Linked DNA regions of Rattus norvegicus. The protein of the gene in region 5 purifies or fractionates together with the protein of the main gene of each other region. This does not show direct contact. Links are inferred from orthologs where the notes say so. Each region holds a gene or a part of one and is shown on either strand. Other genes may lie near its edges.

The links.
Region 1: the proteins of Dyrk1b (region 5) and Dcaf7 purify together in Homo sapiens (affinity purification with mass spectrometry; 10 studies listed by BioGRID and IntAct, counting the BioPlex papers as one, with this or other methods). This does not show direct contact. The link is inferred for Rattus norvegicus from reciprocal best matches to the Homo sapiens genes DYRK1B and DCAF7.
Region 2: the proteins of Dyrk1b (region 5) and Lzts2 purify together in Homo sapiens (affinity purification with mass spectrometry; 3 studies listed by BioGRID and IntAct, counting the BioPlex papers as one, with this or other methods). This does not show direct contact. The link is inferred for Rattus norvegicus from reciprocal best matches to the Homo sapiens genes DYRK1B and LZTS2.
Region 3: the proteins of Dyrk1b (region 5) and Fam117b purify together in Homo sapiens (affinity purification with mass spectrometry; 3 studies listed by BioGRID and IntAct, counting the BioPlex papers as one, with this or other methods). This does not show direct contact. The link is inferred for Rattus norvegicus from reciprocal best matches to the Homo sapiens genes DYRK1B and FAM117B.
Region 4: the proteins of Dyrk1b (region 5) and Fam53c purify together in Homo sapiens (affinity purification with mass spectrometry; 3 studies listed by BioGRID and IntAct, counting the BioPlex papers as one, with this or other methods). This does not show direct contact. The link is inferred for Rattus norvegicus from reciprocal best matches to the Homo sapiens genes DYRK1B and FAM53C.

The regions. Positions count from the first base shown.
Region 1 is NC_086028.1:91,486,617-91,492,150, forward strand, and holds part of Dcaf7 (DDB1- and CUL4-associated factor 7), read left to right. Parts: intron 1-2,168; coding exon 2,169-2,378; intron 2,379-4,037; coding exon 4,038-4,155; intron 4,156-4,985; coding exon 4,986-5,158; 3' UTR 5,159-5,534. UniProt on the Homo sapiens protein: Involved in craniofacial development. Acts upstream of the EDN1 pathway and is required for formation of the upper jaw equivalent, the palatoquadrate. The activity required for EDN1 pathway function differs between the first and second arches.
Region 2 is NC_086019.1:253,833,065-253,838,114, reverse strand, and holds the end of Lzts2 (leucine zipper putative tumor suppressor 2), read right to left. Parts: intron 4,019-5,050; coding exon 3,356-4,018; intron 2,896-3,355; coding exon 2,638-2,895; intron 1,769-2,637; coding exon 1,085-1,768; 3' UTR 501-1,084; downstream 1-500. UniProt on the Homo sapiens protein: Negative regulator of katanin-mediated microtubule severing and release from the centrosome. Required for central spindle formation and the completion of cytokinesis.
Region 3 is NC_086027.1:68,831,562-68,837,753, reverse strand, and holds the start of Fam117b (protein FAM117B), read right to left. Parts: upstream 3,401-6,192; 5' UTR 3,248-3,400; coding exon 2,662-3,247; intron 2,577-2,661; exon of another isoform or gene 2,498-2,576; coding exon of another isoform or gene 2,281-2,497; intron 1-2,280.
Region 4 is NC_086036.1:26,636,999-26,643,026, forward strand, and holds the start of Fam53c (family with sequence similarity 53, member C), read left to right. Parts: upstream 1-1,782; 5' UTR 1,783-1,824; intron 1,825-2,290; exon of another isoform or gene 2,291-4,874; 5' UTR 4,875-5,005; coding exon 5,006-5,083; intron 5,084-5,440; coding exon 5,441-5,498; intron 5,499-6,028. Other genes in the region: Slbpl (uncharacterized protein LOC100363294), read left to right, coding at 465-530.
Region 5 is NC_086019.1:92,605,191-92,611,229, forward strand, and holds the start of Dyrk1b (dual specificity tyrosine-phosphorylation-regulated kinase 1B), read left to right. Parts: upstream 1-2,263; 5' UTR 2,264-2,400; coding exon 2,401-2,479; intron 2,480-3,564; coding exon 3,565-3,728; intron 3,729-4,409; coding exon 4,410-4,529; intron 4,530-4,625; coding exon 4,626-4,814; intron 4,815-5,108; coding exon 5,109-5,256; intron 5,257-6,039. Other genes in the region: Fbl (rRNA 2'-O-methyltransferase fibrillarin), read left to right, coding at 258-370, 944-1,089, 1,191-1,215.

The DNA.
Region 1 (5,534 bases), on a different chromosome or scaffold from region 5:
ACAGAGAAGAGCAGGAGGAGCAGGAATGGATCAAACTAATGGCAGACTGGAAAGAAGGAACCTGTGATGGCAGATCTGTCTGAGGAAATGCCGTGTGTGTGTGTGTGTGTGTGTGTGTGTGTGTGTGTGTGTGTGTGTGTGTGTGTCTGTCTGTCTGTCTGTCTGTGTGTCTGTGTGTGTGTGTCTGTGTATGAGTATGTGTGTGTGTATGAGTGTGTGTGTGTTAGGGCAGGGAAGGTTTGCTGCCTGGCAGATGTAGTAGAGGAGCGTTTAGTACATTGGGAGCTGCTACCTGCCCTCTTTCGTGCTGAACCCCATAGGTAGAGCGCGGGTAACAGCAGTTACCTAAGCTGGGAGAGCTCTGTGCTCTGAACCACACTGCGGGAATCCCCAGTGTTTCCGCAGGAGGATTACCTACAGCCAACAGGAAAGCAGGTGCTGAACACAGAGCACACTTGAGAATCTTGGTAATGATGACAGCAGATGTCAGGGTGGAGGATGAGAAGAATATCTCACTAAAAATATATGATCTGAAGCCAGGTGGGGTGGCACATGCCTTTGATCCCAGCACTCAGGAGGCAGAGACAAATGGTTCTCTGAGTTTGAGACCAGCCTGATCTAAAAATCAAGTTCCAGGACAGCCAGTGCCACACAGAAATGCTGTCTCAAAAAACAAAAAACAAACAAATATAAAGTAAGGTCTGTGTTGAAAGGATGGTTCAGTGGTTAAGAGCCTCGGCTGTTCTTCCTGAGAACCCAGATTCACTTCCAGCACCTACATGGCAGCTCACAGCCATCTATAACTCTAGTTCCAGGGAATCCTATGCCCTTTTCTGACCTCAGCTATTCATGAAGTACACATTCATACAAGGAGCCAAAACGTTCATACAGATAAAATACAAATCTTAGGGAAAAAAAGGTCCTCTGGCTGCCCTGGATACTAAGGGACAAATACTGCTAGTAGATACCCATCTATCTGTGATCAGTGTGCTCACCCCTTTCCTCTAGTAGATACCCTTCTATCTGTGTTCAGTGTGCTCACCCTTTCCTCTAGTAGATACCCACCTATTGTGATCAGTGTGCTCACCCTTTCCTCTAGCCATAAAGAAGCTCTCTGTGTAAGATTGACTGATTCAAAAGGGCCATGTATAGTCACACATGTCTGTGCTCCTATCACTTGAGTGGCAGATGCTAGAGGATCAAGAGTTCTGGCTTATCTCCCGCTATATCATAGCAAGTTTAAGGCTAACCTGGGCTGTATGAGACCCTGTCTTAAAACAACAGGAAAAGGAAAGAGTGATTAAAAGGGGATCCTGGATGCCTATAATTCTAGTGCATAGGTGGTAAAGATAGAACAGTCTAAAGTTTGCTAGCCTGGGCTACATGACAAGACCCTGTCTTCTTAGGCCTGACACACCAGGTAGACAAAGGCTTTGTCTAGTGCTGTTCTGCTACATAAGGACACACACACACACACACACATTCATTCTCTCTCTCTCACTCTCACTCACTCTCTTTCCCCACAGCCCTTACCACATAGCAAGTTTGAGGTCAACCTGGGCCACATGAGAATTTATTTTTTTCAGATTTACTTATTTTTATTTTATGTGTATGGGTGTTTTGCCTGCATTATGTCCTTGTACCACATGTGTACATAGTATGAGAAGGCAGAAGTGGGTGTCAGATCCTCCGGTCCAGAGTTACAGATCATTTGTAGCTGAACCTGGGTATTCTGTAACAGCAACAAGTACTTTTTGCCACCAAGCCATACCTCCAGCTTCTAGTTGTCCTCTTAAAAAACACAAAACCAAAAGCATGTTACCTTTTTCATACAAATGGATCTCACGTCTAGGTTTTATAGCTGAACAGCTTGGTAGAGCCAATGTGGTTTTATCATGACTCTGCATCTGACTGCACGTAAGTGAAACCACTGGCAGCCAGAAAATGTCGTTTCTGTTTTATCTCAGGGTTGAAAGAGGAAAAGTAGAAGGCAGGAATGGGAAGAAGTCAGCCAGTGTCTATGGTAGAATGATCTTTATTCTCTGAGAAGCCACAAACTTAACCTGCCTTTGTGTCATGAGCTGGGGATCAGATGATCTGGAAGTGACTGATGTCCATGCTGTGGGAAAGGAGAAGACTGGGCTGAGTCTGAAGCTTCTTACCAACAGGTCTATGACATTGCGTTCAGCCGAGCTGGAGGTGGCAGGGACATGTTTGCCTCTGTGGGTGCTGACGGCTCTGTGAGAATGTTCGACCTCCGCCATCTGGAACACAGCACCATCATTTATGAAGACCCACAGCACCACCCCCTGCTTCGCCTCTGCTGGAACAAGCAGGACCCCAACTACCTGGCCACCATGGCCATGGATGGAATGGAGGTAAGGCCTGAAGCCTTGTCCCTTGACTCCAGTGTACTTACAAGAGTAGCTCTCAGATGTTAGCAGCCAGTACCCAGGATAGCTCATGGAGATGTTTTTGATTGTCACAAGTTAGAGCATGGAGTCTTCCTGGCATCCCATGAGTAATGACTAAGGAGGCTGCTACTCATCCTGCAGTACACAAAACAGCCCCAACAGTGCCAGTGGGCACTAGACTGAGGGTCCCATCCACAAAAGGACTGTGTTCAGAACCTGCTCCCTGCTTGTTCGGTGAGACAGTCTCTGTAGCCAGATGAGCTTGGAACTTACTGAGCATCGTAGGTGAGCCGTAAGCTCAGTGCAGTCACACGGCCTTCTGTGCAAGGGTCTGATGTGGTGGGATGTGGCTTAGTGGCAGAGTGCTTGTCTAGCATGCTCAAGGCCCTGAGTTCCATCCCTAGTCCAAAAAAAAAAAGCAACACCGAACAAAAACAAAATGCATACACACCCATGCTAACACACACCCATGCTAACACACACCCATGCTAACACACACCTTTAATCCCAGCACTTGGGAGACAGAGGCAGGCAGATCTCTGTGACTTTGAGTCCAGTCTACAGAGTGAGTTCCGGGACAACAAGGCCACATAGAGCTATCCTGTCTCAAAAATAATAAGTAAGCAAGTAAATAAATTTCTGGTAAAGTGATGCTAAGACCGGTAGAAGAGTGGTGATGGGTCTGCAGCTTGGGACTCGGTACAAATACCACAGAGTCACCATGATTCTGGAGGCTCTTCAAGCTTGGTCTTGTCCTTGGTTCAGCAGTCTCTGTTTGGGAAAGTGGTGTTTATTAAGGAAGCTGGTCCTAGACAGAAACTTCATGGATGAGATAAGAGTACAAGTCAGAGTAGCAGGCGTACGGGAGGACTTGCTGTTCCTGGCCCAGAGTGTGCAAGAGCCTTTTACACCTAAACACATGCATGCCTATGCTTCCTAGCTTCAAGTGTAAAAACTCTGGTCCTGAAGAAATAATATAAAATCCATCTGGTAATTTGTCATGAATTAGTTGTATTAACTAATTTTTAAAAATGCAAATAAACAATTCACAGTAAAGAAAAAAGGGTTAGACAAGTAATAGCTAGATGATATTTAAACCAAGTCACGGTTACTGGGACTGATAGAAAGGAGGCCTTCCCACTCGGTGTTCTAGGCAGACTCTGCAGCTGTTGCAGGCAGATGTATAGGCAGAGGCTCTGTGGTCTGCCAGTTCTCAGGAGAGGGGTGGGTTGTTGGTTGAGAGGGTAGGTAGTTAGCCTCGGTTTGGGTGCGGCTGATGTCTCAGACTTCTTACATCCTGGGTTCTGCATTGGTAAGACACATTCCACCTAACTGAGATGCACAAATTTTTTTGTAGGCTCTTAGCAAAGATGCTTGTGGATCATCAAACTCATATTGCCTGTTCCTTCTTCCCCTTCCCCTTCAGTCTCTTTAGTGTCCAGTCTCTCAGCATGGAGAGTACAGGGTCTATGTTTGCTCATTTGTATTGTTCGTTTCTGCCTCAGGAAATGCTACCTCTAGCGTTCTTAGATCCGTAAATGAAGAGACCATTCTTACAATTGGGTGTGTGGGTGTTCCCTGCTGCACTCTGCAGTTATGGGCCTTTCTCTTGTATTTCTGCAGGTGGTGATTCTGGATGTCCGAGTTCCCTGCACACCGGTTGCCAGGCTAAACAACCACCGAGCATGCGTCAATGGCATTGCCTGGGCCCCACACTCGTCCTGCCACATCTGCACTGCAGGTAACCATGGTGGGAGGCAGCATCAGGGTCAGGTGACCGTGGTGGGGGAGGCATCGGGTCTTAAGTTTGTTTTATTTTGTTATTTATTTTGTTGAGTCAGGGTCTTGCTGTATAATTAATGCTGGCAGGCGGTGACTTGCTGTATTTATCAGGCTGAGCTCCAAATGGCAGCAGTCCGCCTCCTCTGCCTCCAAAATGCTCTCATCACAGTCATGTGTCACCACACCTAGCGAAACACATCAGTTGGCAACAATTCAGGTTTTTTGTTTATTTTCTGATGGTACCGGGGATTGGACCTAGGACTTTGAACACGATAAGAGGCACTCTGTCACTCAGCTGTGTTTCCTGCTCCTGTTACTGGGATTACAGGCATGGATGGAATTTTTTAATGTTTATGTCTGTATAGCACTTTATGTCAGTCATCTGTACAATTCATTGAAATATAAATGTACATAAATGGGAAACAGTCGTCAGAGAAGCATCTTTATCCACTCAAGTATTTTTAGTGGCTGAAGTGACATCGTATTTTGGGATCATTGTATCTTGTGTCCTTTCTTGATTCCTCAGCCCAGTGTCCTGATCTAATTCTCTAGCCTGGTGCAGGAAATGGAGCTTAAGGACACCAGGGATGTGGAGTCAGGACCTAGATTTGGTCCTCACTGGCTACATGGCATTAGGGAGCAAGTCCGAGGACATCAGTAAATCTTGGGCTCCTCTTTTCTGAAATAAAGCTCCTTTTACAAAGTTTTGCAAATTGTGACTGCCTCTCCAAATACAAGACTGTCACCTCATCACCTGAGCTCTGGCCTTCTTACTTGCTTTTTCCCCAGCGGATGATCATCAGGCCCTCATCTGGGACATCCAGCAGATGCCTCGGGCCATCGAGGACCCTATCTTGGCCTACACAGCTGAAGGGGAGATCAACAATGTGCAGTGGGCCTCGACCCAGCCTGACTGGATCGCCATCTGCTACAACAACTGCCTGGAGATCCTCCGCGTGTAGTGTTGGCACCTCACCGACTAGGCAGGGGCTGTGTGCTTCAGCCTCTGCCCCCTTCCTTCCCACGTAAGAAGAGTTCCCAGTGGCCAGTATGTCTACTGTTGCTTTAACCCACTGTGTCCAGAAGCTGCTGTAGAAGTCCAGGCCAGTTACCCCGCTGTCTGTGTTGGACTGTGCTGTGTGGCACCACCGCGGCCCAGGGCTGGGTTTTAAGTTTTCACTCCTTTCCTCCTCTTTGCTTCTTCAATTAAACGTCTCTGTGTATTTGTTTGTCAGCTGTTGGTTCATGAACAGTACAAGCACTGGCTCTGTCTGTCTGTCTGCTGCTGAGGCAGTCGTCTGTCCCCTGTCCCTATGTGTTGTGCTAGCACTTAAGTGG
Region 2 (5,050 bases), about 160 Mb from region 5:
CCAGGTTCCATATACCTGTCCTATCCATTTGACCACCGAGAGCACTGCCATACTTGGGTGGCTCTGATCCACTGGGCTGTCAAAAGGGCTCTGGCCTTTCAAGATAAGCTGGATATCCAATTACAAGGTGTACTAGTGGGCAACCTAAGCCAGTTGCATTCCCTAATCCTGGAACTGCCTCCCAGTGAGGAGACAGACACTCAAGTCTGAAGCCTGTAACTGGTGTGAGGTTTTTCACGATGGACCTGGCTCACCATAATCTGAGGGGCTTAAACTGAGTCGTCAAGGTCACTGCATTCATCCCCCAGCCTCAAGCAGTGTTCAGTGCAAAGGACAGAAGGAAAGGCTTTTCTAGTTCCTCACGACTCATGGTGTCGTCCACCAGGGCCCGGGATTCCTACTGGATTAGTCCTAAGAACTCCATCACAGGTAGGTGGGTAGCCAGCAAGCAGAGGAGACAGGATGTCAAACAAATTCCCCTAGAGTTTATCCATCAAGCCTTTTTTTTTAACAAAACTTTTTTTTTTTAATTTTTTTCCCCTTTGGGTTTGTACAAGAAATTTACAGTGTGAAAAATATACAAGTGGGAACGAGGCCATAACCCTGGAACTAGGGAGGGCGGCTTGGTCACGAACACAAATAAACAAGACATTGCTGAGTTCTTCCTTTGGTCTGACTTCAGCCCCCTCAGCCCACAAGAGGCTTGCGGAGCTGGGACATGGGGATCAGCCCCATTCCTAGTCCCGCCCCTCCACGTGGGCATATTGAGGGCAGGCACATCTGGGGCAGCTGGTGCCATCTGGTTCTCTCTGGCTTCAGGCAGGTAGAATGTGGGGACAGGTTAGCCCCCTTTCCTTTCCCAGCTGGAGTGGACTGGCAGTGGCGGCGGTGGGGAGTGAAATGGCAGCGTAGGCAGGAGCCTCTGGGTGACAGTGACACTGAACTGCAGGGGGGTTGATTCTGCTTCTCCAAGTTATGGGGCCACCCGAATGCTCGGCAGAGGCCTTTTGGCTCTGAGACCTGGAGCGCTTGCTCGATGGATCCCGGTGCAGGTGGTGCGGTGGCTCGCACCCCTTGCAAAGTCCTAGATTTCAGTGGCAGTGATCTCCTCCAGACAGATGCAAGGGGCCGGCTCCGACAAGCCCAAATCAGCAAGCTCCCGGGCCTCCAGCTCTAGGCTCAGTTGCTGCAGTTCCTGCTCCAGCTGTCGGTTACGCCGGTACATCTGGACATAGTTGTGCTGCAGCTGCTTCTGGTAGCGGATCACCTGTTCCTTCTCCGCCTGCCAGGCCAGCCGCTCCCCCTCAAAGCTGTTCCGTTGTTCATCTCCCCGCCGCTGCTCCCGCTGCAGTTCTTGGCGCAACCGTTCCACCTGAGCCCGCAGGCTACCCCCTGTCCCAGCGGCTGCCCGCTGCACCTTAGCCTCATCACTCTCCGCCAGGAGGAACGGGTCGGTGGTAGCCGGGGGTACAGGGGGCTCCCGGAGTCCTGCTGCTTCAGCATCCAAATGCCTAGCCTTCTCCCGGAGCTGCTCAGCCTCCTGGCGGTACCGCTGTAGCTCCTGTGAGCAGGCCTCCAGCTCCAGCTCCCGAGCTCGGGCTGCCTCCTGCAGGCCCCGGGCACGGCCCTCACTGACCCGCAAGGCAGCCCGGGCCTCTCGAAGGGCCACCCGCAGCGCCACCAGCTCACTACCCTTCTGGACCAGCTCTGCCTGAGATTCCTTCAGTTGCTGCTTCAGAAGGGAGATCTCACCTGATTTCTGACACACCTGTAGGTGAAAAGTATTGAGGGAAGATGGTGAGGCCTCTGGGTGTTGGGCACCGGGCATTCAAGGAAATGCTGTCTCAGGAGTTTACACACAGAAGCCCAGCAGGAGAGCCTAGTGATACGTCCATGGTTATACTTCTATTAAGAGGTGAAAGGGGGGGGGGGGCTGGAGAGATGGCTCAGAGGTTAAGAGCACTGTCTGCTCTTCCAGAGGTCCTGAGTTCAATTCCCAGCAACCACATGGTGGCTCATAACCATCTATAATCAGGTCTGGTGCCCTCTTCTGGCCTGCAGGCATACATGCAGGTAGAAAGCTGTATGACTATACATAATAAATAAATGTTAAAAAAAAAAAAAAAAAGAGGTGATAGGGGAACAGAGACCCAGGTCATTTCTTTTCAGTGCTGGGATCCTTATACCAGATGCTGTATAAACAAGGCCCAGGCCTGGAGACGGAGGCTGCAGGAGTGGAAACAGAGGGATTAACAGTACCCATCTATCATAGAAGGAAACACCACTAGCTATGTGGGTGCTAGATCACAACTCTGAGAACAACAGAGGAACAGGGAAACCCCCAACACAGAAAGAATAGGAAGGACAGACCCTGGAAGGTAGCTAAACACTGGCCACACCTCTGTGTATCTTAGTGTAACCCCTTCAGCCTGCCCAGTACCCATCTTTATTTTTAATATATTTATTTTTTATGTATATCAGAACATTGTAGCTGTCTTCAGACACACCAGAAGTTTACAGATGGTTGTGAGCCACCATGTGGTTGCTGGGAATTGAACTCAGGACCTCTGGAAGAGCAGTCAGTGCTCTTAAGCGTTGAGCCATCCCTCCAGCCCACCCAGTGCCCATCTTGCATACCTCCCATTTGGTCTCCTCTAGCCGTGGCCCAAGTTCCTGCTGCTCCCTTTCAAAAGTAGCACAGCGGCGCTCCAGCTGCTCTCGCTCCTGCAGCAGCTGGGCGAAGTCATCCTGCAACTGGCGCTTCTCTTGCTGCAGCTGGAACACTTGCAGTTGTAGCAGCTGTTGAGCCCGCTGGACACGCTGTGTGGCCTGCTGTGCGTGAGAGGCACAGTCCTCTCGTTCTCCTGGCCAGCGCCGCTGCCGTGCCCCGAATGCCTAGACAAAGACAGAAGGCTAGAAACGGTTGGGTCCCCCCAAATCGTGAGTTCTAGCATCTTCTGCTTGGGTGGCTCCCTGCCTGGCCTGAATCCAGTGAATTAGGACAACCATAAAAGCAGGCACTTATATGGCATTTCCTAGGTGACAGGCATTATTCTAAGTACTTTATCCCTTTCGTCTTATTTAATCTTCATAACCCCTTTAGGGAGTAACAGCTATCCCCATTTAGACAGGGAAACTGGGGCTGGGTGAGGTTAAGCAACTTGCTCAAATCTAACATCCTACAAGCCAGTGCTGGATCCAATTCACATACCTTGCCTCCTCACTGCTTTGAAGGTTATGCTCATAGCCTTGGGGGTGTCACATCATGAGTCTTTACCCTCTTCCTCCCCAACAGGAATTGTCCCTAGGCCCTGGGTATTCAGCCACACCGCCCCAGGACTGCCACTGGCCGCACCTGACACACGGCGGCCTCACTCTCATCCACACTGTCCCGCAGCTGCTGCAGCTCTGCCTCTCGGTCTCGAAGCTTCCCTTCCAGGACACAGTGTAGCAAGGCCTCATCCGAAGGGGGTGGAGGTGGTGGAGGGGGTGGGGAGCGGTCTCCACCCGAACTGCTGCCAGGGGAGGCCCGGGCCCCACTGCCCAAGAGCCCCCCAGCTACACGAGCCCCCAAGGAACCTGTGCTTTTGCTGGAGGAGGACCGGCCACTGTCTGAATGGGAGGGCCCAGTAGGGACCCCTCGGGCTGGACCAGGCAGTGGCCCTCGGCCAGGGCCGTGGGAGGGCAGGTGCCCACCTGGGGAGTTGGCAGTTGGCTCGGCACCTCCGGTGCTGTAGGTGGGCAAGCTTGATAAAGAATTTCGGCCAGAGTCTGACAGTGTTCCTGAAGGGCAGCCACTGGCCCAACCGCTGAGTGCCAAGGGTTTGTCAGTAGCAGAGGAGGAAGAGGAAGAGGAGGAGGAAGAGGCTGGCCCCCCAAACAGCTGTGTCAGGCTGCCCTGGCTCCCAGATAGCCCAGCAGCTCGAGGACCAAGGAAGCCAGGTAGGGATGGCGCCCCTCGAGGTTTGGGTAGCACTGGCTTGAAGGCTGTTGGTCGGATCAGGATCTTCTCCATATTCTGAAATGAGGTAGCATGTGACACTGTGAGGATGATCTGCCCGACCCCTTTCTTTTTAAAAAATTTAGTATTGTTGTGAGACAGGGTTTTACTCTATTGGCCTGGGTCCACTCACTATGTATCCCCTTGAACACAAGCCCTTCAAGATTACAGGTGTGTGATACCAAGCCCACTTTGCTTACTTGATCTTTCAAAACACACACACACACACACACACACACACAGAGGGGGGTGCATATGTATGAGTATGGATACGTGGTGCCTATGTGTGAAGATCAAATGTCAAAGTGTCAAAGTTAGGAGCTTTCCTCAATCACTTCCCACCTAAGTTTTTACACAATCTCTGGACCTGGATTTCATCAATCCAGCTAGTCTTGACTGGCTAGCAAGCCCCAGGGATCTGCCTGTCTCTGCCTGACAAGTGCTGAGATTCCAGTCCTTTGCCACAACGGCCACCTTTTTATATGGGTACTGGATCTGAACTTAGGAACGTGTATGAGTACACTGTCACTGTCTTCAGACACACCAGAAGAGGGCATCGGATCCCATTACAGATGGTTGTGAGCTACCATGTGGTTGCTAGGATTTGAACTCAGGACCTCTGGAAGAGCAGTCAGTGCTCTTAACCTCTGAGCCATCTCTCTGGCCCACCTTGATCTTACAAAATCATCATACTACTTGGCTTTCCCATACAGGGTTCTCACCCCTATAAATGAAAAACAATGGTTCCCACCGTTTCTTTCTTTCTTTCTTTCTCTCTCTCTCTCTCTCTCTCTCTTTCTTTTTGGAGCTGGGGACCAAACCCAGGGCCTTGTGCTTGCTAGGCAAGTGCTCTACCACTGAGCTAAATCCCCAACCCCGGCGGCACCGTTTCTAAACGTCTACTTATGTTAAGTAATTCAAAATGCTTATTTTTAATCATGATAATAGCCACGCAAGCAAAACATTATCCTCCTCTCCTACTAAAAACAGGATAGAGTCAGTCCCAGAATAAAGGTAAACAAAGGCTTCGCCCAAACACACACACGCACG
Region 3 (6,192 bases), on a different chromosome or scaffold from region 5:
CACACACACACACACACACACAAACACACACACATACACAAACACACACACAGGGAGGGAAGGAGGGAGAGAGGGAGGGAGGGAGGGAAGAATAGAAAATATAATTAAACTTTTTAAATAGAACTAAAATTGGTAAGATAGCTCACCAGGTAAAGGTGTCTGAGTTCAGTCCTCCAGACCCAAAAACTGAAAAGGAGGAGAGACTCCAGCGGATTGCCATCTGGTGACCTCTCATATATGACCCTAGCATGTAAGTACCAATGCACATGCATACAACACGCACACAATGTAAAATAAAGAATCCCATATAACCATGGACTCTATCACTAAGTTATGCTATTCACTTCTCTGTACCACGTGACTCACAATAATTGACATGGGCATTGAGCCCAGTAACTACCCAGAGTTTATTCTAACTGCTCTGATGCTGCCTCTCCACTTCTCATCTCAATAAGACAATGAAAAGAAGAGAGAACAAAAAGTAAACTCCACAATTAACCCTGCTGCTGAGTTACTTTCTGAAAGCACATCTAACCCAGACAGGCTCCTGGCAGGCACTGAAGTTGAATGTTTAAATAGCTTCCATGGATAAGTGAGTAGTGACTTTATCAGAGTCAAGAGAAAGACATTTTGGAGGCTGGAGAGATGGCTCAGAGGTTAAGAGCACCGACTGTTCTTCCAGAGGTCCTGAGTTCAAATCCCAACAACCACATGGTGGCTCACAACCATCTGTAATGGAATCCGATCCCCTCTTCTGGTGTGTCAGAAGACAGCTACAGTGTACTCATATACAAAATAAATAAATAAATAAAAAATAAAAGAGAAAGACATTTTGGATCATTCAGTAATTAGTTCAAAGCACAGAGAAATAATCAACCAGCTAGGGATCCTGAGATCTCCAATTTAGGGACTCTGCAATACTGAAGCCCCTGGTGAAGGCGGGGTCTCTGCTCACGCCATAAGACACCTAGAAGCTAGCAGCCTGATGATGAACCCAGGCATGTGAGGGTTCCAGAACTGCATCAATTAACACCTTTGTTTCTACAGTAAGAACTTTTACATTTCATCCAGCCTGCAAACTGGTAATCTCCCTTCAATCAAAAAAGGTTCCAGTAACTACAATGTCTCTTTCTAGATTTGGTCACATAAACATGGAGCGGTTTAATCACAGTGGTCTATGGCTAGAAAGACTTCCCCCACTTTGTATGGATCTAATTAGAGTAAAACAAGAATATATTCCAAAAGGAAGCCATCAGATATTTACACTTGAGTAAGACTGAAAGACAAGCCGTATCCCTCATACCTAGTTTAAGAGTAACTACTGTTTTTGGTTTTTTGTTTTGGGTTTTTTTTTGGGGGGGGGGGGCGTTGGAAAATATGAATGAGCACACAGGGAGTCTGATGGCCCCAGAAATAAAGCCTCCTTCACACTGACTGTTTACCTTAATTAAGCTCTCCTCAGGGTGTGTTGGGAATCAACTTTTTAAAACATTCTGCTATCAGGCTGAGGCCGGCGTCTCCTTCCTCATCTACTCCCACTTAGCAGCTCATCTTCCATACACCAGATGCACTACCCGGCTCCAGGAACTCAACGGCAAACTGCAGAAGTCGTCAGCATTCCTGTAATCTTGCTGTGCAATGCATTTCTCGGACATTCTCTTATATATAAGAAGCTACTCCCTTGATCTAATTTGAAGACTTGTTCTTTGTGAAAGACAAACAGAACCAAAGCTCACCTGTCACCACTTGTTCTTAACCCATCTAAAGGCCAATATGAAAGCTAAAATGAGGTCTTGTGTGAAAACCGCCTGCCCATTATTGCAGGAGAGCATTTTGTAGCAGGGCAACGTAGCAAGCATGCTTTTGATAGCATGGTTCTGATGCTCAGAGGGCAGAGACTAAACTATCTACACAGTGAGTTACAGACCAGCTGAGGGGCTACAGTAGACCGTTTCAACACACACACACACACACACACACACACACAAAACGGGTGTGCCTTTAATCCCAGCACTAGGAAGGCAGAGGCAGGCAGATCAAGCCCAGCCCGGTCTACACTGCAAGTTCCATCCCAGCCAGAGCTAGTGAGATTGTTTCAGGGAGGAAAGAAAGGGCAAAAAATAAGTCAAAGAGAAAAACCAGTATCTCAGAAACACACTCAGACCCTCAGGCTAGCTATCTAACATTTACGCATATGCGTAAATATATACATAGACCTATGCACACACCCCAAAGCAATCTTGCTCAACTTCTCCCTTCTTGCTGCTCATTAAGTCTTACGAAATGCAAAAACTGCTCCCAGCTTCACAACTCTTCTATGATCCAAATCCGCCTTTGCTGATGCATTCAGTCCTCCATATCCGAAACTGTTTTGTGGAACAGAAACACTGAGCAGCACACATGTGCTATTTGCAAGCAGTAATCGCGTCACTAAAACAAAAGTGACAGGTCCAGCCCTAGCAGTAGCGACACAAGGCCAAACCCCAGGGTTTATCATTTCCACAAATTGAGCCAAGGCCCAAGGTTAGCGGCTGCACCTCCACGGCGGGGACCCGCAGAGGCACGACGCATGGGTGGCGGACCGAACGCCCCGCCCCGCCCCTCCCCACCGGAGTGCTGCAGTCCCCACTCCAGGGCACGGGACCCCAACCCTCCACGTACCTGCTTTGCACACCGGGGCGCTGGGGCTCCTCTTCTCCGCCGAGGGCCGACCCTGCTCTGGGGACCTCCTCCGGTGGCGAACGCGGGCGGGGTGTGGGGCCGCACTCACCTCGCTCGGCCACAGGTGGGTGGGCGACGAACTGGGCGACGACACGGTGCCCAGTAGGGGCGGCGGCGGCTGCGGTCGCGGAGGACTGCTTCGGGCTCCAGGCGCCGTGCCGCGCGTGGGGCTGGTGCCGCGCGTGGACGTCACGGACGCGCCCGTCTGCGTGGCCACCGTGGGGCTGGTGCGCGCCGCCGCGCTGCCGCCGCCGCGCGTGGGGCTGGTGCTGCGTGAGGCGGTGCGCGGGCCGCCGCCGCCGCCGCCACCCGAGGGGCCTGAGGCGCCTCCGCTGCCTCCGTTGTTGCCGCCGCCGCCGCCGCCCCGCGTGGGGCTGCCATGTTGCTGCTGCTGCTTTAGCTGGAACGGCACTGTCGCCCTCATAGGCTGCAAGCGGCTCCCGGGGCCCCCGGCCGGGCCGACCGCGCCACCCGCGAGGGCGCCGGCGGGCGTGGGAGACCCATTGCGCCTCACCCGCTGGGACATGGTTCCCCCCCCCCGCCCCAAAGACGGCGGCCGGGGGTGCTGGGCGGCGGGGACCTGCTGCTTGGGGCCCGAGGAAAGGCCCGAGCCAGCGGGTGACGAAGCCTGACTTCGGGAAGAGGGGGCGCGCGGGCAGCGACGAGGTGGTGCAGCCGCCGCCGCGGCTCCTCATCAACAATAGTGTCTCCTCCGTTGTCCCCGCCCCCTGACGCCGCTCATTGGTGCAGCGTCAGCGCGCTCCAGCCGTTCGGACTCGCTGATTGGCTGCGTGCTGGTCGGCTCCCCGAGGCTGCGTCTGCTCTTTAAAGAGAAAGAGGCCCGCCCCCGAGGGGTCGAGCCGCGGAGGAAACCGGCTGTGGCGGGAGGGGGAACGCCGGGGGGGAGGGGGGGCGCTTTTGCGGGAGCGGGGGTGGTGCGTGCGTGCGTGCGTGTGTGTGGTGTGTGTATACACGTGCGTGTACGTGTAGGCGCGCGCATAGCCACGCGCGTCCCTGTTTCCCGGAGGGAGCCCTTGGGACTCCTGGAATATGGCCAAAGGGACGGACTGTACCGGACCACCTTGTCCCCAGGGATGGTCTGAACCGAGTCTTTCTGTAACTCATTTCCTTACAACAGTGGTATCTGTTAGTTAACACGTACGCACATCACTTTGGGGACCCCCTCACCCCCTAATCTTTGTGCTGTCCTAATTCCATCTACCTATAGGCAGGGCTCGAAAATAAAAGAAATTTAATCTTAGGGTATTTTATATCTTTCTTTCCTTTTTCTTTTTAGCGCTACAAAGATTCCAATTTCAGAATGATTACATTTGCAGGTTAGAATGCAACTTTAGATGATATCTGTGAAGTTGTTACCGAATAGTGTTGCTATTACCCCCCCCCCCATAAATCTCAAGTAAGGATTCATTTAATCAATTACTTCACAGTTCCCTTATACCTTAGAAAAATGACTATTAGCTTGCAAGTCTATAAAGTGCTGCGGCCTCCGTTTGATTCTATTTGATACAGAACTGGGTACACTACCCATATTTTATTTATTACATTTCTGAATTTGGCTTGTGTATAGGCATGTGTGTGCATGTGGAGGTCAGAGGACAACCAGTTCTTTTCCTCCATGTCTGTCCAGGAGATCAAACTCACAGATCTGGCTGAGCTGTTTCATTGGCCCACCATTCACAGTTTAGTCCTGTAGAAAAAAAATAAGTCTCCAGTTTTCATAAGAACTTTCTGAAAGGAAAGAAATTCTAAAGTAATATGTGGGTTCCTCTAAAATTAAAAAGTCAACATACATGTTGCATGTGACGTCCTTAATCCCTTTGCAGCTTTAATCGATGTGCATTCTAAAAAGATCTCTTAAACGTGGGAGTGATGGTTCTGGTAACGGGCCTCAAGCCCTATTAGGTTCCTGTAGAAAGCCACTGGGTAGGTTCCTAGAATCCTGGAAACAGTCAGATCCACCACATAGTCTGTGATCTTGGTATGTCCATAGAGAAGTTTCTTGTTTGTAAGGCACAGCTAAGCAATACCATCTCCTGCAGCAGACAGTTCTGACTATTAACCACGGATCTGATGAAAAGGTGCTAAACAGGGAGTTCTCAAAGATCCTTTTCTAGTAGTCTCCCTTTATTCATTCATTCATTTATTCATCATTGTATTTATATATGTGCATCCCAACAAACAAAAACCTCAGATAGGCTGTATTAGATCAAAAGTTAAAATATTTTGCATAGTTTAAAACCTGGTCTGCTGGAGTTAGTTCCTTTTTTGTTTTTAGGATCGAGTCCAATATAGCCCACGCTAGCCTGAAACTCACTATGTAGCTGAGCACGGCCTTGGGCTGCTCATTCTCTTTTCTTCACCTCGTGAAAATTAAGATTTATGCCACCGTGGTTAGTTTGTGCAGTGTTGGGACTCAAAACTGAGTGATGTCTCCTTTGTTCACATTTTCTCCTAGCCGTGTTTCTCACAGGATCACAGATCCAAAGACACAAAAAATAAAAAACAAAAAGCCTCCTTTTATCTCATTTAACAAGCCTGCTTAGTTCATCAACTTAAAGCTGAACTTCCAACAGAGAAAGCCAGTATTAATCACTGAAGCCACCATTATACCAAAGGATATTTGTAGTTATTTGTAAATAAAAACTATGAAATCATCAGAAAGTCTTAGCAGTCAAAATGTAAATAGAATTGTAGAGTTGGATGCTGTAGGGTGGTTCTGTTTTTAAGGGTGAATGGGGATGAATAAAAGCACCATTTATTCTCGCCCTTGCCCATCACTGCTTTTGAAGAATCAAGACAAAAAATACATCAAGGTAAGGTCTTTGTGTTCTGACTCCTCAATGAAGAGTGTCCTTGTTTGTCAAGGATCAAGAAAATAAGCACACAAACACACACACACCTGCTTGCCCGACACCTCTCAGGAGATGATTTGAAGTTTACACTTTCTCCCAAGGTTGAAATGGGACTTATGAAATTTTAGGCAAGAAGTAACATATTCAGATTTGTCTATCTGTGTTTGAACTTGTAGTTCTACCATGTATGAGGCAATTCCTGCACAGCAAATAGTAACACAGGAACCTCAGAAGACAAAATTATTGACAGACTTATTTGCCTCTGGGTTTGCTTAACTCTTTACAAGAAAAAAAAGATATATATTTTTAAATTATATATATATGTATGTACGTACATATGGTATCGTCTGTGGTTCAGATGTATCTAGTGCTCATGGATACCAGAAAACAGTGAGTGCTGGATCCCCTGAAAGTAAAATTACAGGTGTTTGTTAGTCTAGTCACTAGGTGGGTACTGGGAATTGAACCCAGTTCTCTTAACCTCTGAACCATGTTTCCTGTTCCCAAGAAAATGGATTTTTATGACACTTATTTTTTCTGAAGTTTTTTTTAAGTTCCTTTAATTTTGTTTGAGCCATCTCCATCCTTCGACAAATAT
Region 4 (6,028 bases), on a different chromosome or scaffold from region 5:
AACGGTAATATATATGTTTACTTAAAGCATATAGTGCAAGTAGACATGGTAATTCTTGTCTATAATCCCAGGACCTAGGAGGCTGAGGCAGGAAGAACAGAGTTTAGGGACGTCTCTAGTTACATAGTAGGATTGAGACCAGCCAGAGTTAAATGAGATCCGGTCTCAAAGATAAGCAAACAAAGAATGTAGCTCCTTGCAGTTGCAGGAACCATGTCTCCTTTACTCTTTGTCAAAGGAAAATATGCAGAGCAAAATTAATCTCCACAGATGTCTGTTTGTTGTTTGTTTCACTGTGTAACCCTTTTCTGGCCTCTGCAGTTGAAATGCTGACTGGCTGGCCTGGAAGCAGACGCAGCCTTCTTGCCTTTGCCTCTTAAGTACTGGAATTTTAGATGTGTACCGCTGCCCCTGGCTTCCCACCTCAACTTTTTAATGATTTTTTTTTTACTCTTCTTTTTCAGTTTGCATACTTGAAGGTTCCTGCTTCCTGCCCTCCCCAGCTCAAAGATGAACTTCTCCATCACTAAGTCTGCTGCTGTTTACCTATCCCAGACAAGGGGGGATTCAAAGCATTCACAGCGAACACTTTATTTTTAGGGATTTGCTGCTACAACTGTATAATAATGAAATGACTGGAATTACTTTTTTTTTAATTACCACTTTAACCGATTAAAAAAGAAATCTAAAACTCCATCTGCGCATGAAAGCATTTATTGAAAACTTTTTTTCTCAGCTGAGACCTCCAATTTACCGAAGAGCAGGAACCTCTATGGGCTTTCTTCTCTACTTACATCAACATTCAGGCTATTGAAAAAGGACTTAAAACTTTGGCTGAGGTGGGAGGTGGTAATAGTGGTGTAAACTTAATAAAAAGGTGGTTTCCAGTTCCTGGAGAGGAAATACAGTACTGTTGACATCGGTTCCTCATATGTCAGCTTCCTCCCTCCCTCTGTCTTTAAGTGGTCCAGCCATAATCATCCTGCTCCACCCCCTATACACCCCGCAACTGAACCACCTATGATGTCATAATCACAATCCCATTACCTCATCCTGCTTGGGGGGGGGGCATAAGGAGGATAGGGAAGGGAGGGAGTGAACAGCTTCAGGCCCGCCTCAGCTTTACAAAGTGTTTTGAGAACAAATTATCGAGCAAGGGGACACAGCTCCGCAACCGTTATAAATCTCAGGTTTATAAAAGCTCCAGCAGATCAGGCAGCTAGAAGAGGGGCTCGGGGACTCAGAGCAGGCCCTGACCGGCGCTTGGACTACATTTCCCAGCAGCCTTCACGCCGAGGATCAGTCCTTGCCGGGGGAAGGTGGGGGGATGCTTACAGAAAGGTGGCTGTATCGAAAGGGACAGGAGCCCAGGTGAGAAGACTGTGGCTAATACTGTTTTGTGGCCTGAGTTGAGTCAGACAGTTCAGCTGGGAGGATGGTGTAATGGAAGAAGTGGACAATGGCTTTGTTTACCTTTATCCGACATGGCTTCCCCTATGGGCTTCGTGATGTGCTTCCAACTGGGCCCGTCCACTTTCTACGATATTTTGGAGGGGGGGAATAGTTAGTGAGGAAACCATCCGGTTCCCAAACCACAGCTCTAGGCTTCTTTCCGACAGCACTCTACTGAGAAAGGTTGCGCGAGACACCACGTAGGGCTCGGGCCTCTTCGGGAGGTTCCGGGGGATTCTGCGATTAGACGCGACCCCCTCGACTCTCCTCAAAGACCGGTTGGTTCTTGCCAGCGCCTTTTAAGGGCACCGTGGGGCGAACGGAGCGCTCAGAGCTGCTCCGGCCGCGGCCCAGGGAGCTGTAAGAGCCGCGGTAGGTAGCGGAGGGCAGGTGGTGCTGGGGCCTCGGGGCGGGCACCGCGACCGTCCCTCCCTCTCTCCCCTCCCCCAGTCCAGCCGCTAGTGCGGCGGAGCCTTGCAGGCCGCCTCGGCGGGAGAGCACGGGACCCGGTGGGGGAGGGGGTGGCAGAGTGCATGTCCCAGACCCTTCCCATCCCCTGCGTCCTGAGTTCGCTTCCCGCGGTCAGATGAGGAAACCAGAATGGATACAGGAGAGCGACAGTCTCTCTGAGCAAACCCTGGAGTGCCCCCCCGGGGGCCAGTAGATGCCCCATGCCCCACCCCGCGGGGACAGGCAGGGCAACAGAGGGAGAGGTTGAAGATTAGAGGGAGCCTAGTCGTTTGCTTTTTCGTCGTGGTGGGGGGATGGGTGCACCCCACTTGTCACCCCTATCTTCACTAGAACCATATGGAAGAAGAGCATTCTAATACCCACTTACCGTTTCTTGCATCTCCCTGCCTCGCTTATGTTTTCCTTCAGTTTCTCCCAGAGGTGTGGGACCTGGAGACCTGGGGGAATGCCCCCAGGGGATTTGTGACTTTCTTTTTCCCCTGGCCTGACTGGATCTTAGGTTGTCCAGGTTTCAACACAACCTAAATATCTGAAACGCAAGTGTCAGGGGTTGCTTCCATCCAATAGGATTGGGGGGGGGTGTCTAGTCGTTATCTTAGGGGGTTGTGGTGGAGGGAGATCCTGGGCTGAGAGTTAGGCCTGGTGGGGTTACTGGGAGGGCCGAGCGGCCTGCTTGCTCAGTGAAGGGTTGAGCCTTGTGCCAGTAACATTCAGCTGAGAAGTTTTAACTTGTTTAGTGAAATGTTGAGAGCTGTCTACCTCTCCGATACACAAAATGGAAGGGGAAGGAAGGCCGCCAGAGAGGGTTTCTCACACTTTTCTAAATGTCTGCTTGAGAAAGAGGAGGCCCCTTGCAGAGCTGGTTTGCCTTCTTTTGTGTCCTGGTTTGATTCCTTATGGCTTCCGTTCTGTTGCCCCTCTCAGCCTGGCCTGTTTTAGGAAACCCAGGCTGAGAGTATCAGTTGCGTGGTGGTAGTTGCATTGTTCCAATTACCGCTGTGTGTGGCCACATCCCAACAATTAAAATGCAGAAAAATAGAAAATCACCCTCTTCAGCTGCTCCTGGAGAGGGCTGGGAGTTTGCTGTTTGTCCAAATGCCTCATGAAAAGATTGAAAGTTTTTTCTCTCCCTGCTCCTCATGGCTGGTCAGCTTAGAGCCTGGGGTCTCTCTAGGGTAAATTCTCCACTTAGTTCCCTTCTTGTTGGTTTTTTGAGGGCAGAGTTAGAAAATAGGAGTAGAAGTGATTCAAGCTTCTTTGCTTCTCCCACCAGAGCACAGCACAGGGGAAGCAGCTGAAGGGAGTTCTCAGGAAGCTGGAACTTTGTTCGGAGTGGTAGTAATAATTATGTGTGGAAACGATAGTTAACTATAGTGATGATTGACGTCTGCGCCTTTCTTCCAAAGAACGCCATATGCATCATAAGGAACTTAGCTCTTCTCTGTCATGTTCTTCTGATACCCTCTTTTTTCTTTTTTTTCTTTTTCTTTTTCTTTTTCTTTCTTTTTTTCTTTTTTTTTGCAAGGGGTGGGCTTCTCCAAAAGGTCACAGGAGGAAGAGCCCTTAGGCTCCAACTCAGTGAGCAAGTGAAGGAGGTTGGCATCTGGCCAGAGAGAGCCACATAGCTTTCGTCATTGTAGTGATACCACCTCTTTAGGCATACCAAGGCTTTGAAGAACAGCAAAGGGAGAGATAAGAAACAACAGTCTGTGTGAACTATTTTATATAGGCCAGTTGGTAAGCTATTTTGATATTTCATGTGGCCTCATTCCTGTGATAGAGTAAGATCGTTATACCCATTTTATGTATGGGCAAGCAGGAACGTTATGTGCTTAGTCAAAATTGCCTGAGCAGAGTGGATTAAGACTCGGTGAAGGTAGCAGCATTTTCTTTCCGGACTGGCCTTCAAGAACTGTTAGGTTCCTGTTTTCACTGCCCAGGTGCTGGGATTACAGGCGTCTGCTCAAGAGTTAGCTGTCTTAGTTGATTGTTTTCTATACCAGTTAATGCTCCATATACTCTGGTCTTGCCTGTTGGTCATTTATGGGAAGAGGTAGAAAAGACATTGTTAACCTCCCCTCTGCTTCCCTCTTTGAACAAAGCAAAAGTCCCTTAGGTAGGTAATTGGGGTTTAGAAGCTGCTCAGATTAAAAATCAGTTTGCGGGTTGGGGATTTAGCTCAGTGGTAGAGCGTTTGCCTAGGAAGCGCAAGGCCCTGGGTTCGGTCCCCAGCTCTGAAAAAAAGAACAAAAAAAAAAAAATCAGTTTGCTTCAGTCATAAGGAAGAATCTTTGTTAATTATATCCATGGTCTTCGAGTGGGTTCATGAAAAGAAAAAAACTTGGTTGGATGAAGTCATGAGTTGTTTTTAATATCTGTAGAGTTGAAATGTGATTGTGATTGGAACTATCTGACTACCTGACCATTCTTTCTCATTGGATAAGAGAATAGCCAGCAGCATCTACTGGGAAATAGCAATATATCAGCTGTTCATTTAAAATCCTCTTTATCCTGATCTGAAACTGAAAGCCCAGCCCTTGCTCCTCTCTCTGTACTAAACCCATGTGGTTTAGAAGGGTTTCTTTCTTGGCTTCTGGCTGTAAGATAAAGAAAATATTGTGTTAACTCAGTGTGGAAATAACCATTTGGGCATCTCTCTCATTTGAGCCGTTTTCTAGGTGGTGCTGATATTCTAGGTAGACACAACAGAACTTAAGCCAGGTTAGAAATGGTAAGTAGGTTTCACTTTGCTTGCCAACTCCAGTTTATTTTACTGGATATCAAGAGTGCCAAGTTCAGAGTGTTTCTGAGGCTGTCTTTAAGCTCACCAGGAAAGTACTATGATCGATTAACGATGTCTGCCAGAGGCCTGGCATAGGAACACTGTGGTATGTGTGCCATGCCTTCTCCATCTAATGTTACTTGGGGGCTGACCCCTCTGTAATTGGCAGACGCCGCAGGCATGACTGGAGAGGGAGGTCCCAATGGTGCTGCAGTGGCAGAAGGTGGCTCATGAGTGAGATCCAGAAGAACCACAGGGAAGACATCCATCAAGTGTGCGAGTCAAGTCCTGGGCAGAAACATGATAACCCTGATCACTGAGCAGCTACAGAAGCAGACGCTGGATGAGCTGAAATGTACACGCTTCAGCCTCAGTCTGGTAAAGACCAGTATTTCTTCTGCTCCATCATCTAACCCCCTTTTTTGGAGGCTGTGTGTTGCTATAATTTTACCCATGTTCTGTGTTGTATGAAACCTGCTTGTAGTGGAAAAGCCTACTAACCGCTCAAAACCCAGCCCAAAAGGAAGGGGGCAGGGACACTAAAACTTGGGTGAAAGGGGCTTTGTGATGTTTGAGGTGTGGCTTGTTTCTCACTAACTTGGGGAAGACTATAGGAAGAGAACAACACAGAAGTCTAAATCCTTGTAGCCCATGACTTATAGGAAGAATGTAAGAGGTCTCTCTAGAAATGTCCTTGTCTTGAACCCAAATAATGATGGATGATCTCTCTCTCAGCCTTTGCCTGATCATGCAGACATACCCAACTGTGGGGACCCTTTCCAGCTTGTGTCTGGTAAGGAATCTGCGGTTTCTATATACTATATGTTTGTTTGTGCTTCTGTCCACACATGTCTTCTGTTGATTCTCAGTGACCACACCTGATGAGCCTAGCTCTAGTTCTCTGGTGGTCTTTGTTTTGTTTTGTTTTGTTTCGTTTAGAGACAGGCTCTCACTATGTAGACTAGGTTGGCCTTGAGTTCTACAGATCCCCTGCCTCTCCTCCAGTGTGTTAGTATTGAAGGTGTCCAGCCTTCACAGCAGCTTGGGTTATTTTGTTTGTTTTTCATGGCATTTTCTCTGTGTAGCCTTGGCTGTCTTAGAACGTGCATGGTAGAGCAGGCTGGCTCTGCCTCTCAAGTGCCGGGATTAAAGGTACATCACCGCTGCCTGGCCACCAGCTTTGTTTTGTTGTTTTTTTTTTTAATCTTTTGTTCTTGTCAGTGCCAACTTCTGAGTTCTATTTATTTCTATTGTCCTGTAGGAAAATCATTTGTTAGTTTGTTCTTTTGTATTTAAGACAGGATCTTGTAGCCCAGGCTAACC
Region 5 (6,039 bases):
CTGTGTGTCCCCCACACCCAGCCCAGGGCTGGCCACAGAGTAGGTGGCAACTGTTGGCTTATAAGAGGAGCGGATGAGTGAAGTGACTTAGGTTCTGGTTCCACCTTTGGGGTGCTTTGGAGGGAGTGGCTGGGAGTAAGACTGGAGGCAGAGGAGTCCCAGGAACCTGGTGGTGAAACAGCACAAGGCCCTGTTGGGAGGCTCTGGAAAAGTTTCTGCAGACTTCTGTTTTTAACCGCTGTCCCATTTTTCCTTAGCAATGGTGGATGTCATCTTTGCCGATGTGGCCCAGCCAGACCAAACCCGAATTGTGGCCCTGAATGCCCACACCTTCCTGCGGAATGGAGGACACTTTGTGATTTCCATTAAGGTATGGATCTTGCAGTGTCAGGTTGAGTAGCAACAGCGAACGTTGTGGATGCTTGATCTGTCCTGGCTGAGCAAGTTACTTAGCTGAAGCCTGTTTGACTTGGTCTATTAGTCTTCTCTGTGGTTGAAGATCTATAAGTGTTAGGCATTTGGAACAGACTATGGGGTAGAATAATACTAACTGCAGCAGGTATGGTTCTCAAAACATTTGTTTAAAATATAGAAAACTCTCAGGCATCCTCACCATCTTCAGAGCCTATTGCTACATTTGTTCTATTGCTGCCAGCTGGCCTTCAGCTGTTACCGGAATATGGAAGAGTGTTCCTGACTTTAACCACTGCCTTAGATAAGGGAAACAACCTGTTTCCAGTCTGAGCTAAATTAAAATGTCTTTTTTTTTTTTTTCCGGAGCTGGGGACCGAACCCAGGGCCTTGCGCTTGCTAGGCAAGCACTCTACCACTGAGCTAAATCCCCAACCCTAAAATGTCTTTAATGTAGGAAATTGGCTAAGTCTGCATCTCCAAATCTGTAACAAAGACATGCTTTTAGCTTAAAGTCTTTTCTCCTCTCTAGGCCAACTGCATTGACTCCACAGCCTCAGCAGAAGCTGTGTTTGCATCTGAAGTGAAAAAGATGCAGCAAGAGAACATGAAGCCTCAGGAGCAGTTGACACTAGAGCCTTATGAACGAGACCACGCTGTGGTTGTAGGTGTGTACAGGTAAGTACCAGAATAGACCTCTCCCTTACTTTGGGCCAGAGCTTCCAGGGCCTGAGAAGCTAAAATTGGTTACAACTCGACCCACTCTGATTTCCTCACAGGCCACCTCCCAAGGCGAAGAACTGAAACTCGACTGTCTGGATTGAAGAAATGTGTGTTGTTGCTACTGTTGCACATGTGGCTTTTGACTTTTTGCAGGGGATTTTTCTATTAAAAGACTAATCTGTCTTCCCTGTCTGGTGCTGATTGCTCAGTGGCCTCAAGACGCATGCGTCCTTGATCAACTTTGTGTGGTGGTGGTGGGGGGTGCCTGGAAAGTTTCATCCGGTCACATGGTGCACGTTCCATTGGTGGCTGCTACGCACGTGCGCGGCTCAGCACCCTTAAGGCGCAGGCGCACAGTGCTCCACTAGGTCACGTGAGGGGTGTGGGGGCGGAGCCGGGACAGGGGGGCCGGTTTGTTGTGGTCGCCATTTTGCTGGTTGCATTACTGGGTAATCGGGGCCCTGGCTCGCCGCGTCCACCAGACACCCTCAGCCAGTGGGCAGGTCTGAGCTCGGGCTTCCCGAGCAGTTTGAATCCCCTTACCCACGCCCTCAGGTAACGGTACTGCGACGGGCGGGATGGCACGCTTGAGTGGGGGGCAGGCCCGGACCCGCCCTGCCGGTCCCCGCGAGATTTAGCAAGGGAAAGGAGGGGGCTTCAGGCCAGTGCAGCGCAGCCCGGCACTTCACAGCCGAATTCCTGGAAGGGGCTAAGCCCGAGGGAGCTGTCTTGAGGGGGAGCCTGGGAGGGGGGCAGCCCGGCCCCACTCCCGCCCTTTGTTTGGGCTCGGCTGCGCTGGCCGCTTCGCTGTCGCCTAGCAACAGCTGCCCTGACTGCTAATTGGTTAAGCTCTTGGCAGCAACAACCAATAGCGCGGTTGTTGCCATGGGAGGTGCGGCCTGCCGGGTTCACTTGTGCCCCGCCCGCCGGGACTCCACCGGCCGGGGCGGGCCTGCCGGGTGGGGGGCGGGACGCCAGGGTCCCTGGGGGCGGGTGGCCACGCGGGGCGGGGCTGGGCCGTAGGGCGAGGGTTAACCCGCCCCTCCCCCGTCCACCTGCTGTCCCCTTCCCCCGCGTGCCCTGGTCTGACCCTCGTCCCCTCCTTTTCCCGCCCCTCCCCCTCGGTGGCAGTGGCGGCGGCTGCTGTTGTCACCCACCGGGCCGCCTGTCCCGCTTGCCCTCACTGCCGCGGGGCTGGCTAGGCTAGCCGGGCCGGGGACAGGCGGCCACCTCCTCATCGCCGCCGCCGCCACCGCCGCTGCCGCCATGCTGGCCGCTCGCCCACCGCACTGGGGCCCCCATCGCGCTCCAGCCCCCCGTGGGCCCAGCGCCAGCCCTGACCCGGGTAGGGGTGGGTGCTGGAAGAGCTGGTCCTAGTGTGGGAGGGCTTGGGGAGAGGTTGTTTATCTGTGAAGCTCCAATAAAGGGGACCTGGAGTAACAGGACAGGATAGAAGGGAATCTGACAAGGGGGAAGCTCCTAGGGAGGGGATTTTGTTCCGAAGGACACTTAGAGGGAGTGAAGTCTTGTGTGATATTTAGGGATTTGGCTTGTCGGGCCCTTCTAGGAATAGGCTCAATTGTGGAATGACCCCGCTTAGAAATGGAGGAGATAGCAAGGATCCCAGGATAAGGAAGAAAAAGACAGTGACTCTTAGATGTTGAGAAATTACACCTCCCCCTTGTTTTCCTAAGGAGTTGGGGTCTTGAAGTAATAAGAAAATACTAGTGGGATAAATATAGACTACTTAGAAGAAGAGTCCCTGGTGCGGGAGACCTCATATAGGGAGCAGGGAGCGGTCTTGGTGGAGTATGGAGTTGGTCCCAGGGGAAAGTATGCCATGTTGGTTGAGACATCTATAGCTCGCATGTAAAGGAGTTCTCAAATAACCTTGGTTTTGCTAGGAGGTCCACAAGGACTGCTATGTTCTTTAGAGAGAACTAGTGGGTAGGCTAGGCTTGAAATTGGGCCCTCACTGTTGAGGGAAGACCATGTGAGGGCGGTGCCTTTTCTGAGGGACTCAGGCTGGCCACCGGCAGAATTTCAAAGAAAGCCTGAATTCTACTACCCAGACTACTCGGTTTCTGCCTTCTCTTTTGCTTTCCTAATTCCTGGCCTCTTTCTCTCCTTCCTGCCCTGGCCTTGTACCAGCCCTTTCCCACCCCTGTCTGGTTTGATGATTCCCTTTTACATTTTTCTCAATGTGATGCCTCATTCATTCATTTGGCTCATTTGTTGAGAGACATGGCTGTTTTAACCCACTTGCTACCCGTTTCTGTTTCTACATGGCTACCTGGTGCTTGTGCTCTGTCCTGTTCCCTGTCTCCCCCTGGTCCTGCCCTCTAGTTCATGCCCACTTCTTCTCTAACTGACCCTGACCTCCACACCTTCTTGTTTCATGTTGTCCTCCCACTTTCTACCTGCTCTCAGGTCTCAGCGGCGGTGGCAGCCGAGGTGCAGGATGCGAGAAGGCGCCCCCCGGCCGGGCTCCCGCTCCAGGCCTCACACCCCTGCGGCCCTCTGAGCCCACCATGGCCGTCCCACCAGGCCATGGTCCCTTCTCTGGCTTTCCGGGGCCCCAGGAACACACACAGGTAGGCATTGAGCAGGCTTCTCACCTGCCTGAAGAGTGAACGGCCTCCAGACAACAGCATGGTTGTTGGAGGATCTCTGGGGAGTTTGGAGGCCTCACAATACTAAAAGAGTTTCAGGTAGTTGGACTTTGAAGAATCCACCCTCTTTCCTGCTGAGGACTGAATTCTTGAGCTTCTCCATAATGTGTGTCTTGGGGTCAGAACTGTCACTGGCACAGAGCAGACAGAAAGAAACACAGGTCTGAGTGTTCACGAGAGAGAAGCCTGAAAGAAATCTAGAGGGGGCCAGAAGGAAAATGAGCTGAGAGCAGTGGGAGACCCAGGGAGACTAATCCCAATCCAAGAGCTTTTTAATTGGGCAGAGATACTTACTTGAGAGTAAGGACAGGAAATTCAATAGCATTGTTCCCAGAAACAGTGGTCTCAGGTGCAAAGACTCAGGGGACAGAACCCAGATACGGAGCAAAAGACCTAGGGCTGAATGGAAGGTCAGAGGTAAACCACTCACTTCATATAATGAACGGATGAGTGGAACCCACAGTGTGTGCTTGTGCTCCTATACAGGATGCGATCAGAGCTAGGGAAATGTAGGCATGGTCAAATGAGGTGTCAGCTTTACCCTTCTCTCCTAGAAGTTGGAGGTGAAGGCTTGTGCTCAGTGTCTGCCTCCCTCTGCCACAGGTATTGCCTGATGTGCGGCTACTGCCACGGAGACTGCCCCTGGCCTTCCGGGATGCGACCTCGGCCCCGCTGCGCAAGCTCTCAGTGGACCTCATCAAGACCTACAAGCACATCAATGAGGTGAGTGGGGAATGGACTTCTGTGGTTGGGTGTTGAAAGGGGTCCTGGCTTCTTGCCTGGATCACTAAGGGTCCAGTTTCCTGGCTGCCTGAGCAGGTATACTATGCGAAGAAGAAGCGGCGGGCCCAACAGGCGCCACCCCAGGACTCGAGCACCAAAAAGGAGAAGAAGGTCCTGAATCACGGCTATGACGATGACAACCACGACTACATTGTGCGCAGCGGCGAGCGCTGGCTAGAGCGCTATGAAATTGACTCTCTTATTGGCAAAGGCTCTTTTGGCCAGGTGCGAGGTTCCCCCGCTCGCCCAGTGCCTGGGTGATGCAGACAACCACTTGGTTACCCCGCTTCCTCCTCCCAGAGTGTTCACTTGCTAAAAGTCCTGCCCTGGGCCCGCCACTCAAGCCACTTAGTTTCCCTGTCTTAGTTCTGGATGAGTATAAATCACAAGACTCTTTGAAAGAGAACTGTTGTTACTTTTTATCCATTACAAGGGATGTGAGCACTGGGCTGTGAGTTGTTAGAAAGGTATGGCTGGTGGGCCTCTCGCTTACCCAGGTAACTCTCCTTGTCTGGACAGGTGGTGAAAGCCTATGATCACCAGACTCAGGAGCTGGTGGCCATCAAGATCATCAAGAACAAAAAGGCCTTCCTGAACCAGGCACAGATTGAGCTGAGGCTGCTGGAGCTGATGAATCAGCATGATACAGAGATGAAGTACTACATAGGTAAGGCCTGGGTGGGTGCAGGGCGCCTGGCATAGAGAGGCCTCCACTGAGGGCTGAGGGCTCCTCAACCTCTGCTGTGGTCATGATTTCTCCTTTCTGCTCACTGAGGGCCAGACTCTGGCAAACACTTGCCATGAACTACCTCCCCCAAGCCTGGTGAGGGACAGGGCAGCTTTGTGGACGTGTTGGAAAAACGGAGGCACTCAGTGCTGTCACATGCATGAGGTGACAGTTCAGGCTCAACAGTTGATAATGTGAGAAGCAGTGACATCTAGAGCTATGGCTCTTGTGATATGTCCCAGTCTTCAGTTCCTCTGGAAAGGGATTCTTTAATAAAAGGACAGCCAGTATCCCTTGCCACACAGACAGCAAAGACAAAAGCAGGTTCTTTTGATAGTTTGGGGTTTTGGGTGATGGTGATATTTTTGGAGGTTTTGTTTTGCTATTCTGGGGATCAAACCCCGTGCTTCATAAATGCTAGGCAAACAGGTCCTCCCTTCAAACATCCCCGACCCCAGAACATCTCCAGACCTTTTTTTACTTCATTATTTTGAGCTAGGGTCTCACTAAATATATCCAGATGTACCTCGAGCTAACAGTCTTTGTGCATCAGTGTATCCCAGGCCTGCTGGTTCAGCATTGTAAAATGAAATGAGGAAGCATGGAGCTGTTTTTTTTTTGTTTGTTTGTTTGTTTGTTTTTTGTTTTTTCGGAGCTGGGGACCAAACCCAGGGCCTTGCGCTTGCTAGGCAAGCGCTCTACCACTGAGCTAAATCCCCAACC